Linked DNA regions of Anolis sagrei. The protein of the gene in region 1 purifies or fractionates together with the protein of each later gene. This does not show direct contact. Links are inferred from orthologs where the notes say so. Each region holds a gene or a part of one and is shown in the gene's direction. Other genes may lie near its edges.

The links.
Region 2: the proteins of ARHGEF12 (region 1) and GNA13 purify together in Homo sapiens (affinity purification with western blotting; 3 studies listed by BioGRID). This does not show direct contact. The link is inferred for Anolis sagrei from reciprocal best matches to the Homo sapiens genes ARHGEF12 and GNA13.

Annotation. Positions count from the first base shown.
Region 1 is NC_090027.1:37,523,794-37,531,661, reverse strand, and holds the start of ARHGEF12 (rho guanine nucleotide exchange factor 12), read left to right. Parts: upstream 1-4,645; 5' UTR 4,646-5,316; intron 5,317-7,011; 5' UTR 7,012-7,868. UniProt on the Homo sapiens protein: May play a role in the regulation of RhoA GTPase by guanine nucleotide-binding alpha-12 (GNA12) and alpha-13 (GNA13). Acts as guanine nucleotide exchange factor (GEF) for RhoA GTPase and may act as GTPase-activating protein (GAP) for GNA12 and GNA13.
Region 2 is NC_090022.1:182,315,779-182,323,368, forward strand, and holds the start of GNA13 (guanine nucleotide-binding protein subunit alpha-13), read left to right. Parts: upstream 1-4,473; 5' UTR 4,474-4,552; coding exon 4,553-4,835; intron 4,836-7,590. UniProt on the Homo sapiens protein: Guanine nucleotide-binding proteins (G proteins) are involved as modulators or transducers in various transmembrane signaling systems.

The DNA of each region.
Region 1 (7,868 bases):
GCTCTACAGAGAAGCATAGCCTTTGTTGGGGGGATCCAGTTCCACAGCTTTACAGCCAGCCTTCACTGGGAATTGAAGACCTTCTTTCCTCTTGGAAATCTACAAAAGGACTCTGTTTGGTAAGGACCACTCACGGCAGCCATAACGCAATCTGGACCGGGTGTAGGGGCCCACGCCAACAGAGCTTAACACAGATTGCCCAGGTAGAGGTCAAGGATTTCCCTGATAGTGAAGAAACAGTTCATGAAGATAGTTGCCTGTCCCTTGTGAACAAGATTAAGAAAGTCACCAGTTGATTCAAAGCCTTGAAGTATTTGTTTGACTTATTGAAGACCTAAGCACTAATAAAGAACTTTGTTAAACTTTCCAAGTTTCTAAGTTTCCAAGACTTTGTTTAGGGAAATCCAAAAGGCCTCTAATCTGAGGCACCCCCGGCGTCCCGTTGGGCATACAGAATACGTCCTGTCTACAGACTCTTTCACAGGCCCAGTGCGTGACAGCACAATTATTTATGAATGGTCTATGGTCATAATGTAAATAAACACATTCCTGAACCTCTAATAGTTTTCTTCTCTGCAGAATTATTATAGTTTGACCACAGTTTAACTGCCATTGCTCAGTGCTATGGAATCCCAGGAGCTGGAGTATTCCAGGGCTTTTAGCCTTCTCTCCCAGAGTGATGGTACTTCATCCAATGACAACTCCCAGGATGCCATAGCATTGAGCCAGGGCAGTTAAACTGGGATCAAAATGCATTCATTTCCCAATGTAGATGCACTCTAAGAGTAATTACTTATTTGAATTAAAGTAAAGGTAAAGGTTTTCCCCTGACATTAAGTCTAGTCATGTCCGACTCTAGGGGCTGGTGCTCTTCTTCACTTCTAAGCCGAAGAGCCAGCGTTGTCCATAGACGCCTCCTGGGTCATGCGGCCAGCATGACTGCATGGAGCATCGTTACATTCATTTCCCAATGTAGATGCACTCAAGGAGTAATTACTTATTTGAATTATAGAAAAGGTAAAGGTTTCCTCGTGACATTAAGTCTAGTCGAGTCCAAGCCTGGGGTTGGTGCTCATCTCTATTTCTTAGCCAAAGAGCTGGCATTGTCCGTAGTCACCACCTAGGTCATGTGGCCAGCATGACTGCATGGAGTGTTGTTACCTTCCTGCTGAAGCGGTACCTATTGATCTATTCACATTTGCATGTTTTTGAACTGCTAAGTTGGCAGAAGCTGGGGCTAACAGTGGGAACTCACCCTGCTCCCTGGATTTGAATTGATGACCTTTTGGTCAGCAAGTTCAGCAGCTCAGCGGTTTAACCTGCTATGTCACTGGGGGCTCTCATTTGGATTATAACTTTCAGAATTTTCCAGGGAACATTGCTGAATGATCATCCAAAGACCTAGTTTTCCAAGCTCTGGCTGATACCCTTTACAAATTTGTCTATATTTTGTAACAAAGACTTGTAGCAATGAGTTCCACAGGTTTACATGCAGCGCAAAGAAGTTATTCTCCCATTCATCAACCATAAGCCTCCTGAGTGTCACTGGGTGTTCTTTGTATTAGAAACTAGGCACACATTTATGTCTGTTATGCAGAATTTCTGCCATTCTGCTCACTGCTGCGAAACAAGGAGAAACCCCTTCATGGCAACTGTGCCTTAACAATGATAGATTATTGCATTAGAGCTGAGCTCTGACCATAGATTTTCTGGCAAGATGAAATAAATGAGCTTCCAAACTGTTGTTGCTTTAGTTTATTCAGGTGTTTTTCCCTCAGAGAGGGGAAGTGAAACTCAATACAATGTTTGCAGTCCGTTCATCTTAAGTGGCTGCCGATCAATTTATGGGGTGTTTAGTCTGGGATGTTGCACTTTATGCTCGTTCTTCTCCCTGAAGTCGATAGATTGACTTTTGTCCTGTTTTGCAAAATGTCTGGAAGTGATTTCCAAGAGAACAAATTTTGCAAAATAATAATGATGATGATAATAATAATAATGTTGACACGATATGAGGATTTAAAGATCAAACTGCAAAGACTCTGGCACAAGCCAGTAAAGGTGGTTCCAGTGGTGATCGGCACACTGGGTGCAGTGCCTAAAGACCTTGGCCTGCACTTAAGCACAATCGGTGCTGACACGATTACCATCTGCCAGCTACTGGGATCTGCATGCATTGTTCACTGATACATCACATAGTCCTAGACACTTGGGACATGTTGGATGTGTGATCCAATACAACAGCCAGTATAGTAATCTTGTTTGCTGTGGACTCATCCTGTTGTGTTTCAAATAATAATAATAATAATAATAATAATAATAATAATAATACGTCTCTGGGTTTAAAATCGTTGCCACTTTAACATCTTGGCATACATATTTTAAAAGTTTTCCAATTCTTCTATTGATCTTAAGGGGGAAAATAAACAGAATACGCACACTATTCAAACATGTCATAACATCTGTGAATAGTCAAATCTCCTAAAGTAAAAAACAAGGAGGGTTAACTATATTTGTCCTGCGACATTTCAAATGAGTTGATTTCGCAACCACAGACAGAAATAGGAAAAACAATGGCAGGGCACAGATTGGGTTGCTGTGTGTTTTCTGGGCTGTATGTCCATGTTCCGGAAGCATTCTCTCCTGACGTTTCACCCACATCTATGGCAGGCATCCTCCGAGGTTGTGAGGTCTGTTGGAAAATAGGAAAATTGACTTTATGTATCTGTGGAACAATGTCCAAGGTGGGAGAAAGAACTCTTGCCTGTTGGAACATACTGTCTCCAATGTCTTTCTTTGGCACCAAATATTGCAATACCAGGAGCTTCCTGAAGGTGGCAGCACTTTGCATATGGCGCTTGGGTTGCAATTCTCTCCTAAGTGGGACTTACTCCAATGTAGACAAGGATTCAGCCTCCAAAATAAGTCCAGCACCTTGGAGAGGCCTCTATTTCAGACTATGTGTGGCATCTCCCTAACTCTTCTCCAAAAACACAATGCAATTCGATTTCCCATTTCATATTGCTCCTTAAAGGAACTTTCCCCCCCCCCCGCCCTCCTTTATCGGCCTATGGCGGAAGCGGCAACGCATGTGCTGTGACAGGAAGAGTCGAGGCGGAGCAAGGGAAGGGCGTGACGCGTGCCGACGCGGAGGGATCCTCCCGAAGGGGAAAAAAGGGAGGGGGAGAGGAGAAAAACGAGTCCCGGCATCTCCGGAAAAGCCCGAAGCCTTCCGAGTGAAAGCCTGAAGTAAGGGAGCAGAGGAAGCAGGCGGAAAGGAACGAGGCGGGGCGATTAAGAGTCGGAATTACCGGAAAACTCCGAAGATAGCCGAGCTGAGTCGAGAGAACTCCGACTTACAGAAGTAGAAGGGGAACATGAGGGAGCGAAAAATGAATCCGGAAAAAGCCGGAGATAGCCGAGTGTGGCCGAACTAAGAGGCATAAAGTAGAAGGGGAAAGAAATGTGTGTGTGTGGGGGGGGGTAACGTTCGGGAAAAGTCGGAAAAATCCGAAAGTAGCCGAAGTGAGTCGAGCAAATTCTTGAAGGAATGGAAGCGGAGGAAAGAGGCGAAAGGGAGAAATGAGTTCGGGAATTGCCGGAAAATCCCGAAGGTTGCCGAGTATTGAGTCGAGCGAAGAGGCATAAAGGGAAAGTGGGGGGGTTCGGGAATATTCGGAAAAGTACGAAAGTAGCCGAACAGAGTCGAGGGAATTCCTGAAGGATTAGAAACGGAGGAAAGTGGGAAATAAGTCCGGGAATCTCCGGAAAAGTCCGAAGGTAGCCGAGAACGAGTGAGAACGAACCGCTGTGTAAAGAAGCCGAAGGGGGAGAAGGAATGAAGTCCGGGAATTACCGGAAAAGCCCGAAAGCAGCCGAAAACTGAGTTGAGCGGAGAGGCATAAAGGATCGGGATGGGAGGAGGAGGAGGGGTTACGTTCGGGAATTTCCGGAAATACCCGAAGGTTGCCGAATACTGAATCGAGCGAAGAGGAATAAAAGAAAGGGGGGTACGTTCGGGAATAGTCGGAAACCGCCGAAAGTAGCCGAACAGAGTCGAAGCAATTCCAGAAGGAATAGAAACTGAGGGAAGAGTCGAAAGAGGGAAATGAGTTCGGGAATTGCCGGAAAAAACCGAAACGAGTGAAGCTAAGAAGTGGAGGAAGAAAGGGGAAGAGCGGGAGCTGAAGAAATCCGGGAATGGCCGGAAAAGCCCGAAAATAGCCGAGTGCAGATAATGACTGAAATAAAGGGGAAAAAAATACTAATTGACTCGGGAATGTTCGGAAATACCCGAAAGTTGCAGAGTAAAGGCAGGGGGGACGTTCGGGAATAGTCGGAAATCCCCGAAAGTTGCCGAATAGAGTCGAAGCAATTCCAGAAGGAATAGAAACTGAGGGAAGAGTCGAAAGGAGGAAATGAGTTCGGGAATCTTCGGAAAAGCCCGAAGGTAGCCGAGAACGAGTGGAGGAAAAAAGGGGAAGAGCGGGAGATGAAGAAATCCGGGAATGGCCGGAAAAGCCCGAAAATAGCCGAGTGGAGATAATGACTGAAATAAAGGGGAGAAAAAAACTAATTGACTCGGGAATGGCCGGAAAAGACCGAAAATAGCCGAGTGGAGATAATGACTGAAATAAAGGGGGGGGGACACAAATTGACTCGGGAATGGCCGGAAAGTCCCGAAGATACCCGACAGGAGCCGAAAGCGAGTGGGGCGAATCCCTGAAGTGAAGAAGAGGCTGGGAAAGGGGAGGGAACGTCCGGAAACACCCGAAAGTAGCCGAGCGGAGCCGAGCCGGGGCCTGCCTGAGGGAAGCCGGCGGGGCGGAGGGGGGAGCAGCGCTGGCCTGAGGAGAAGCTCTTCAGGATCCGGAGAGGAGGCCGGAGCGGGGCCTGCGGAGGAGACCAGGCCGAGGAAGAGAAGGAGGAGGAAGGCCAGGCCAGGCCTCGCCACATTCCTCCGGCGGGAAGGAGAAGGAGGAGGAGGAGGAGGAGGAGGGGGCGAAACTAAGTCTCCTCCTCAGGCCCGACGTCGAGGGAGAAGGGCCGACGGGCCTGAGGGGACTTCGGCCGAGAAGCAGGAGGAGGACAGCCACCCCCAGGCTCGGGACCCCCCTCAGGAGGCACTTGGAGGCCTGGAAGAGAGACTCCAAGGGGGAAAAAAAGGAGGAACCCGACCTCAAAGGGGAGCCACACAACTACCCATCCACACTGCCCTCGAGGGTGGCTCCTTTCTGCACCCCTTTTTCGTCAGGAGCAGAGGAGAAGGAAAGGAAGCACAAGGAAGGCTCGAGGAGAGAGGCACAGACCCGCAGACAGGTATACACACACAGAAACATACCTGCAGATGCAAACACATCCATCCATCCATCAAGTGCTGCTTTGACTCTTCTTTGCAGCCCTTTTTCCCTCAGGGCCAGAGGAGAAGGAGGAAGAAGAAGGAGAGGGATCAAGAAGGCTGGAAAAGACACACACACAGATACAAACACAAAACACATACACAAACCTAGACACACGTGAAACACATACATAAACCTATTCACACACACAAATACAAACATAAAACACATACATAAACATAAACACATACCACCCCACACATACATACAGATACAAACATAAATACACAAACACATACCTACACGCAGATACACACACATACAGATACAAACATAAAGCACATACCTACACACAGACAAAATACAAACCGATACAAACATTAAACACATACATGAACACACACAGATACACATACATACAGCTACAAACATTAAACATACTCAAGCACATACCTTCACGTACATAAACACATACCTTCACACAGATACACACACATACAGATGCAAACATAAAGCACATACCTACACACAGACAAAAATACAAACAGATACAAACGTTAAACATATAAACATAAACCTATACACAGACACAAATACAAACATAAAACACATATATAAACATAAACACATACCACCCCGCAAACACATACATACAAATACAAACCTAAATACATAAACACATACCTACATGCAGTTACACACGCATACAGATACAATCATAAACACACACCTTCACTCAGGTACACGCACATACAGATACAAACATTAAACACATACATAAACACATATCTTCACGCAGATACACATACATACAGCTACAAACATTAAACATACTCAAGCACATACCTTCACATACATAAACACATACTTTCACGCAGATACACACACATACAGATGCAAACATAAAGCACATACCTGCACACAGACAAAAATACAAACAGATACAAACATTAAATACATAAACATATACCTTCACACAGATACACACACGTGCAGATACAAATATAAAACACATACATAAACATAAACCTATACACAGACACAAATACAAACATAAAACACATATATAAACATAAACACATACCACCCCACAAACACATACTTACATACAGATACAAACATAAATACATAAACACATACCTACACTCAGGTACACGCACATACAGATACAAACATTAAACACATACATAAACACATATCTTCACGCAGATACACATACATACAGCTACAAGCATTAAACATACTCAAACACATACCTTCACGCAGATACACACACATACAGATACAGACATAAAACACACACATAAACACATACCTACATGCAGACCCATACATACAGATAACAAACATAAAACACATACATAAACACATACCTACATGCAGAGACACACACATACAGATGCAAACATAAAACACTTTCTTAAACACAGACACATACAGATACAAACATAAAGCAGATACATAAATACATACCTTCACATACACACATATAGACATAAATATTAAAAAAATACATAAACACAGCCAGGTGCAAACATTGACACAAAGACATACATCCAGGTACATATATGTACATACTGATACAAGCATAAGCATACACACTCAAACATATACATATATACACACAGGGCCCAACACGGCTGTGACTTCGTTTTTCTTTTTGCCTTTTCTCCAGGACAAGAGAGGAAGGAAGGAAGGAGGGGAGATCTAAAGAAGGCCGGAGGCAGGCCAACAGATTCCACATTCTTGTGTGTCAACTCCGGGCTTAGAGAAGAAAGAAAGAAAGACGGGATGTAGAGGAAGACACACACACACTCCATAGAAAGCGTGGCTGTGATTTCTTTACGCACCCCAAAAACAGGACCAGAGGAAGGAGGCTGTGCCATCGCAGTCCACCTTGGAATCCAATTCTGGGCCTTTATTTTGTTGCCTTTGCTTCTACGACTCGGCCTGGAGATGAAAGAGAGAGACGGGATATCAAGGCAGGTGGAGGCTTGAGAAGGCCACAGCCCTATTTTTTCCCCTTTTCTTTGCCCCAATTTTCATCCAGGACAAGAGGAGAGAATTCAGTCTAACTCAGAGATTTCGCTTAGATATTTCCACTACTTTCCCTTTTCTCGGTGGGGACAAAAGAAGGGGGGGGGGGCTGCTATTTTTGTATGTTTTTTCTAGATAGATACTTGATTCTCTATAGGAAGGGGCTGTTTTCCTGTTGACAACCCCACCCTCAGCATCTTTTCTTGACAATCCCATATAGAAACAGTAGTATCTATTTCCCTCTAGCCTGTTAAGGGTAGATAGTAATATAAATCCTTAAAAGGGAGGGCAAATCAATCTTTGGTGAGCAAAGCATTAGAAACCGCTCTGCTGAGTAGCTTTCCCTGATCAAGTTGAGGTTTTTGATGGAGAATTAACCATTTGAATAGGCTTTCCTGCATCCCATGGGGTAGTCAGGGTGGGAGGAGGCCAGCAGCCCCCTCCCCAGGTTTCCTTCCCTCTCATGGATGGGAATTCTTATTCTGTTTCTCATCT
Region 2 (7,590 bases), on another chromosome or scaffold:
ATAGATATGATTCACACACACACAAATATAGTATCATAGATTTGAAAGGGACCCCTAAAGAAGGACAATGATATGTTGCATGTTCCTAAGTAGGCAAACCAGACACTCTCCACATCAACACTGACAAAATAACAGCAAGAAATACTGTTTACCCACAAGCATCAAGACATTATATATATTAGAAACCAACACTTTCTCATTACTTTATTTTCCATATCAACAGACTAGGCCACAGCAACGCGTGGCAGAGGACAGTTAGTTCTTTATAGAATCACTAGCCGTCCCCTGCCACACGTTGCTATGGCCCGCATGGGATTCTGTGTGGCAGGTTTGGCCCAATTCTATCGTTGGTGGGTTCAGAATGCTCTGTGATTGTAGGTGAACTATAAATCCCAGCAACTACAACTCCCAAATGTCAAGATTCTATTTTCCCCAAACTCCACCAGTGTTCACATTTGGGCATATGGAATATTTGTGCCAAGTTTGGTCCAGATCCATCATTGTTTGAGTCCACAGTGATCTCTGCATGTAGGTGAACTACAACTCCAAAACCAAAGGACACTGCCCACCAAACCCTTCCAGTATTTTCTTTTCGTCATGGGAGAACTGTGTGCCAAATTTGGTTCAATTCCATTGTTGGTGGGGTTCAGAATGCTCTTTGATTGCAGGTGAACTATAAATCCCAGCAACTACAACTCCCAAATGACAAAATCAATTTTTTTTAGTGAAGGACATACATAACAACATTGGGTTGTTAGGTGTCTTGTGTCCAAATTTGGTGTCAATTCGTCCAGTGGTTTTTGAGTTCTGTTAATCCCACAAACGAACATTACATTTTTATTTATATAGAAGATAGAGTTGGAAGAGACCTCCTGGGCCATCCAGGCCAACCCCCTGCCAAGAAGCAGGAAAATTGCATTCAAAGCACCCCCGACAGATGGCCATCCAGTCTCTGTTTAAAAGCTTCCAAAGAAGGAGCCTCCACAATCCCGGGCAGAGAGTTCCACTGCTAAACAGCTCTCACAGTCAGGAAGTTCTTCCTAATGTTCAGGTGGAATCTCCTGAATCTCCTTTGAAGCTATTTTTCCGCGTCCGAGTCTCCAGGGCAGCAGAAAACAAGTTCGCGCCCTCTTCCCGATGACTTCCTCTCGCATATTTATACATGGCTATCATGTCTCCTCTCAGCCTTCTCTTCTTCACGCTAAACATGCCCAGCTCTTTAAGCCGCTCTTCATAGGGCTTGTTCTCCAGACCCTTGATCATTTTCGTCGCCCTCCTCTGGACACATTCCAAGTTGTCAATATCTCTCTTCGATTGTGGCGCCCAGAATTGGACACAATATTCCAGGTGTGGTCTGACCAAGGTAGAATAATCATCACCAACTATTGTCTGTAGACTTACTGACAGATGCTCAGACCTGAGCATTGCTCTGGTGGAAAGGGAATTCCCATTAGATGCCATTTGCTGAAAATGACCTAGAGCTGGCACTAAATTGGACTGAGGCAGCTGCCTCAGGTGGCAGGAAACTTTTATTATTTATTTATTATTTACAGTATTTATTTTCCACCCTTTTCACCCCACAGTGGACTCAGAGCAGATTACAATGCACATATAGATGGCAAACATTCAATGCCAATTAGACACACAACATGTATAGACAGACACAGAGGCAATTTAACATTCCAGCTTTCCGGCTCCATGGGGGTATGCTCGATTCCAGCTTGATTCCAGCCACAGAGGGAACTGCAGCTTCACCATCCATTTGTGACACCGAGTCCTTTGATGGAGTACTTCCTCGTTCTGCACATCTCTGGAAGGTTTTATGGCATCGTAAATTAGTTAAAATAGCCTCCCCGCATAAAGCGGTACCTAAATTTCCTACTTGACAGATACAACTGTCTTTCGGACTGCAAAGGTCGACAGCAAGCTAGAGTAATGGCTGGAAGCTCACTCTGAGCTGGGCTGGCTTCGAACTCATGACCTCTCCGTCAGTAGTGATTTAATGCAGCTAGCTATCAGCTAGTTACGCCACAGCGCAATCTAATAGTAGGTGGGTGGGACAATATTAATAGCCCCCCCCCCCAGCTATGTTCCCTAAGGGTGCATCTACACTGTAGAATTAATGCAGTTTGAAACAACTATAACTGCCATGGCTCAATGCTATAGAATCCTGGGAGTTGTGGGTTCATAAGGCCCATTGTTTGCATTTACAGTGCAGTCTGGATGTAGGTGAACTATAATTCCTATAAATCAAGGTGAATTCCCACTCCCCCCCCCCAAGTCCTGCTGCATTTTGTGCAGATCATGGGGGTTCTGTGTGCCAAGTGAGGTCCAGAGTCATTGTTGGTGGGGTCCAGAGTGCTCTTTGATTGCAGGTAAACTATACATCCCAGTATCTACAACCACAAAATATCCAGGCCAATTCCCCTCCAAACTCACCAGTATTCAAATTTGGGAATATCAGGTATGCATGTCAAGTTTGGATTCACAGTGCACTCTGGATGCAGGTGAACTACAACTCTTCCAGTGTTTTTTTCTTGGTCATGGGGTTTTTGTTTGCCAAGTTAGTTCCAGGTCCATTGTTGGTCGAGTCCAGAGTGCTCTTTGATTGCATGTGATCTATAAATCCCAGAACCTACAGCTATAAATCTAAATGTATTGTTGGTCATGGGGGTTATATGTGCAAAATGTGCTCCAGGTCCATTGTCAATGGGGGTTCAAAGCAGATATTATAGGATTTTCTGCCTTGATATCCTTGGTTATATGGCTGTGCGGAAGAGCCCTTAATCCTAGGATCTGACCTCAGGTTTTCTGCTTTAAACTGGATTATATGAATCTGTATTGCCAGATAATCTGGGATAAACAGAAAACCTGAGACCAGATCCTCAGATATACAGCCTGTCTGGGGTCCTTCCACATAGCCCTATATCCCAGAATCTCTCTTAGGCAATCCCTCGTTTCCGAGTAGGATTGTCTTCCAAGATCAGTGTCTTGGCGGTGGGTCCGGAGGTGGCTGTGGAGCCCTATTCTTGACCTACATCTTCTCCCGCAGTGAGGACATCGGTTTTCAGGTGGAAGGCGGTCCCGGTCAGGGTTGGCTTGACACGCCTTCCTCTTGGCATGTTTCTCTCTTTTGCCCTCCATTTGTGCCTTTTCAAATTCTACACCACTGTTGGTCACAGCTGACCTCCAACTGGAGTGATCAAGGGCCAGAGATTCCCAGTGCCTATCTCTTTTCTGTTTTCCATTCTTGAGTTCGGAGTAGAGCAACTGCTTTGGGAGACGGTGGTCGAACATCCAGACAACGTGGCCAGTCCAGCGAAGTTGATGGCGGAGGACCATTGCTTCAATGCTGGTGGTCTTTGCTTCTTCCAGCACACTGACATTTGTCCGCTTGTCTTCCCAGAATATCAAGGCAGGAAATCCCACATTATCTGCTTTGAACTGGGTTATGTGTCCAGTGACATATATTCCAGCTCAAAGCAGATGACTCTGAGACTAGGGTTCAAATCTCTGCTTGGCCATTGAAACCCACTGGGTACCCTTAGAGCCCTTCCACAGTCCTAAATCCCAGAATATCAAGGCAGGAAATCCCACATTTTCTTACTCAACCCAGTTCATATTGTGGGATTTTCTGCCTTGATATTGCCATACTGCCACATATTCCAGTTCAAAGCAGATAATGTGGGATTTTCTGCCTTGATATTCTGGGATATAGGGCTGTGTGGAAGGGCCCAAAGCCATATAACCTATAATTTTAGGGCAAAAAATCATAGAACCAGAGTTGGAAGAGACCTCATGGGCCATCCAGTCCAAGCCCCTGTCAAGAAGCAGGAATATTGCATTCAAATCACCCCTGACAGATGGCCATCCAGCCTCTGTTTAAAAGCTTCCAAAGAAGGAGCCTCCACAATATCTGCTTTGAACTAGGTTATCTGAGTCCATACTGTCATATATTCCATTTCAAAGCGGATGTGGTATTTTCTGCCTTAATATTCTGGGATATAGGGCTGTGTGGAAGGGCCCAAAGCCATATATCCTAAATATTTAAGGCAAACAATCCCACAATATCTGCTCTGAACTAGGTTAGCTGAGTCCATACTGCCATATATTCCAGTTCAAAGCAGATAATGTGGGATTTTATTCAGTGGTGTGGAAGGGCCCTCAGAAGCCACTTCCCAAATGCAAAGGAGCCCTGCCTATAAAGAAGAGCGGGAACGCTCCTCGTAAAAAGACCAAACCACTTTGCGCATGCGCCAATAAAGACTCCGCTGAGTTGGGGCTGGGCGAGCGCGGGGAAGTGGAATAGGGCGGGCGGGGCCACGACGACGCGAGTCCAAGGATCAACGTGCTCCGCGCGCCGCCAAGCGCAGCTCTTAATTGGGCAGCCGTCACGTGACGCCGAGCGGAGGAAGGAAGGAGGGCGAGGGAGGAGGAGGAGGAGGGTGTGTGTGTGTGGAGGGGGAGAGAGCGAGCGCGAGAGAGCGCGGTGCGCAGGCGCAGAGCGGCCCGGGCCGCGGCGGCCGCTCCCTGGTTGGCAGTGCTCGCTAAGATGGCGGATTTCCTGCCATCGCGGTCCTCGCTGTCGGTGTGCTTCCCGAGCTGCCTGCTGAACAGCAGCGAGGCCGAGCAGCAGCGCAAGTCCAAAGAGATCGACAAGTGCCTCTACCGCGAGAAGACCTACGTCAAGAGGCTGGTCAAGATCCTGCTGCTGGGCGCCGGCGAGAGCGGCAAGAGCACCTTCCTCAAGCAGATGCGCATCATCCACGGAGAGGACTGGGACCGCTCCGCGCGCGAGGACTTCCGCGCCACCATCTACAGCAACGTCCTCAAGGGTGAGGGGGGCCTTCCTTGGGAGAAGGAGAGGGAGGGAGGGAAGGCCGCAGGCGGAGGCTGAAGGAGCAAGCTAGGCCTCAGGCGCAGGGAGGCGCTCAGGAGGAGGCCCAGGCCTCTCCTCCTTCGAGAAGGCCAAGCAGGTGGGAGGAGGAGCAGGAAAGGCCTCCTGAGGCGTCAAGGGGAAGTGGCGCCAGGAATCATAATCATCATCATCATCATCTATATATAAACAAAAATATAATGTTCGTTTTGTGGCATTAACAGAACTCAAAAACCAGTGGCCGAATTGACACCACATTTGGACAGCATACACCTAACAACCCAACGTATGTCCTTCACTCAAAACTTTTTGATTTTGTCATTTGGGAGTTGTAGTTCTTGGGATTTATAGTTCAACAACAATCAAAGAGCATTCTGAACTCCACCAAAGGTGACACACAGGACTCCCATGACCCAACAGAAAACACTAGAAGGGTTTGGTGGGCATTGACCTTGAGTTTGGAAGTTGTAGTTCACCTACATCCAGAGAGCACTGTGGACTCAAACAATGATGGATCTGGACCAAACTTGGCACAAATATTCCATATGCCCAACTAATGAACACAGATGGATTTTGGGGGAAATAGACCTCAACATTTGGGAGTTGTAGTTACTGGGATTTATAGTTCACCTACAGTCAAAGAGCATTCAGAACCCCACAAATGACAGAATTGGGGCAAACTTCCCACGCAGAATCCCCATGACCAACCAAAATACTTAGGGCCATCCAGTCCAACTCTCTTCACCAGGGCAAGAAAATCTAATCAAAGCCCTCCTGACAGCCATCCAGCCATAGAAAGATAGATCTATATGATTCACACACAGAGAGATATAATATCATAGATTTGAAAGGGACCCTTAAAGAAGGACAACGATTTTATTTATTTACTTACTTAGTTCATTTATATACAGCTTCTCTCAGCCCTTAGGTGACTCAAAGCAGTTAACAACAGCAATTTCAACGATATGTTGCATGTTCCAGAGTAGGCAAACCAGACACTCTCCACATCCCCACTGACAAAGAAACCACAAGAAATACTGTTTACCCACAAGCAGAAAGAAATTGCATAGATTAGAAACCATTACTTTATTTTCCAGATCACCAGACTGCGCCACAGGAACGCATGGCAGGGAACGGCTAGTAATAATAATAATAATAATTGTATTTCTTACCCACCTCTCCTCATGGCTCGAGGTGGACTACCAAACCATTAAAATACACAAACACCAGAAAAACTCTACAAATACACGCGCACTAAAGCATACCTCCATAAAAGTTATGTACCAAAATGTATCTCTAGGAAATAGAAGCAGGAAAATTGCATTCAAAGCACTCCCGACAGATGGCCACCCAGCCTCTGTTTAAAAGCTTCCAAAGAAAGAGCCTCAACCACACTCCGGGGCAGAGAGTTCCACTGCTGAACAGTGCTCACAGTCAGGAAGTTCTTCCTAAATACACATTTAAATATTCATATTAAAACAGACAAAACAGAGATCAAAATGCATCTTTGTATTTAAAGACTTTCTGGGTGGGCCTGCAGGAAGAGACAGGTCTTCACTTGTGTTTTAAATTCCGACAGCTGATTTAACTGTCAGAGCTCTACCTGCAGGTCACTCCACAGCCTTGGGGTGGGCAATGGAAAGGTCCTCTGGGTGACGGTTACTGGTTCTGGCTGGTTGGACCAGGCGCCCTGCAGAAGTCCGAAGTGTGTGGGGCGTATACAGGGTAATATGCACATTCCTAGATGTTCCCGTAACCAGTCTGGCTGCTGTATTTTGAACCAGTTGGAGTTTCCGAACTTGGTATAGGGGTAGCACATTGCAGAAGTCCAACCTTGAGGTTCCCAGTACATGCACTACCATCTGTTGTTGTTGTTGTTCATTCGTTCAGTCGTCTCCGACTCTATCTGTAGGACCTCCAAATCTAGGAAGGGCATAGCTGGCAGATCGGTTGAAGCTGATAGTATGCACTCATGACCATTTGCATCTACCTTGGCTGACATTTGGAGAGACAGATCCTGAAGTACTCCCAAGCTTCTGTAGGCCTCTTTGCCTATTCCTTCTAAAGGTATAACTTCCAGGATTCCATTTCACTACTTTGAATGCAGTTTGAACCGACGTAGCTGCATGCTGTGGAACACTGGAAGTTTTGTAGAATTTAGCTCTCTGTGCCAGTGTTTCTCAATCTGTGGATCCCCAGATGTTTTGACCTTCAACTCCCAGAAATCCCAACAGCTGGTAAACTGGCTGGGATTTCTGGGAATTGTAGGCCAAAACATCTGGGGACCCAGAGATTGAGAACCACTGTTCTGTGCCATCAACCCTTAATGCACTTTGAGCCCACTTGAATTGTCACGGCTCCATACTATGGAACCCTGGAAGTTGTAGTTTTCAAAGGTTTTTTTTTTTAGCCTACGCTTAGTGCACTTTGGCACCACTTGAAGTGCCATGGCTTAGTGCTACAGAATCATGGAGCCATAGCAGTTCACTAGCACTCTTTTCTGCCAAAGAGTTCTGGGAGCCTCACCTGTATCCCAGGGAAAGGGATCCTTGACTTTTTTAAAGCTGAAAGGTTGGTTCACTATCCCACAAAACTTTAGTTTGAAAAAAACACAAATGACTTCCGATGCACACTGCACATATTCTGTTTGTAGTGCAAAAACAAACAAATAAATATAAATTAAAAAACTTCTATTATTAACATATTATACCTCG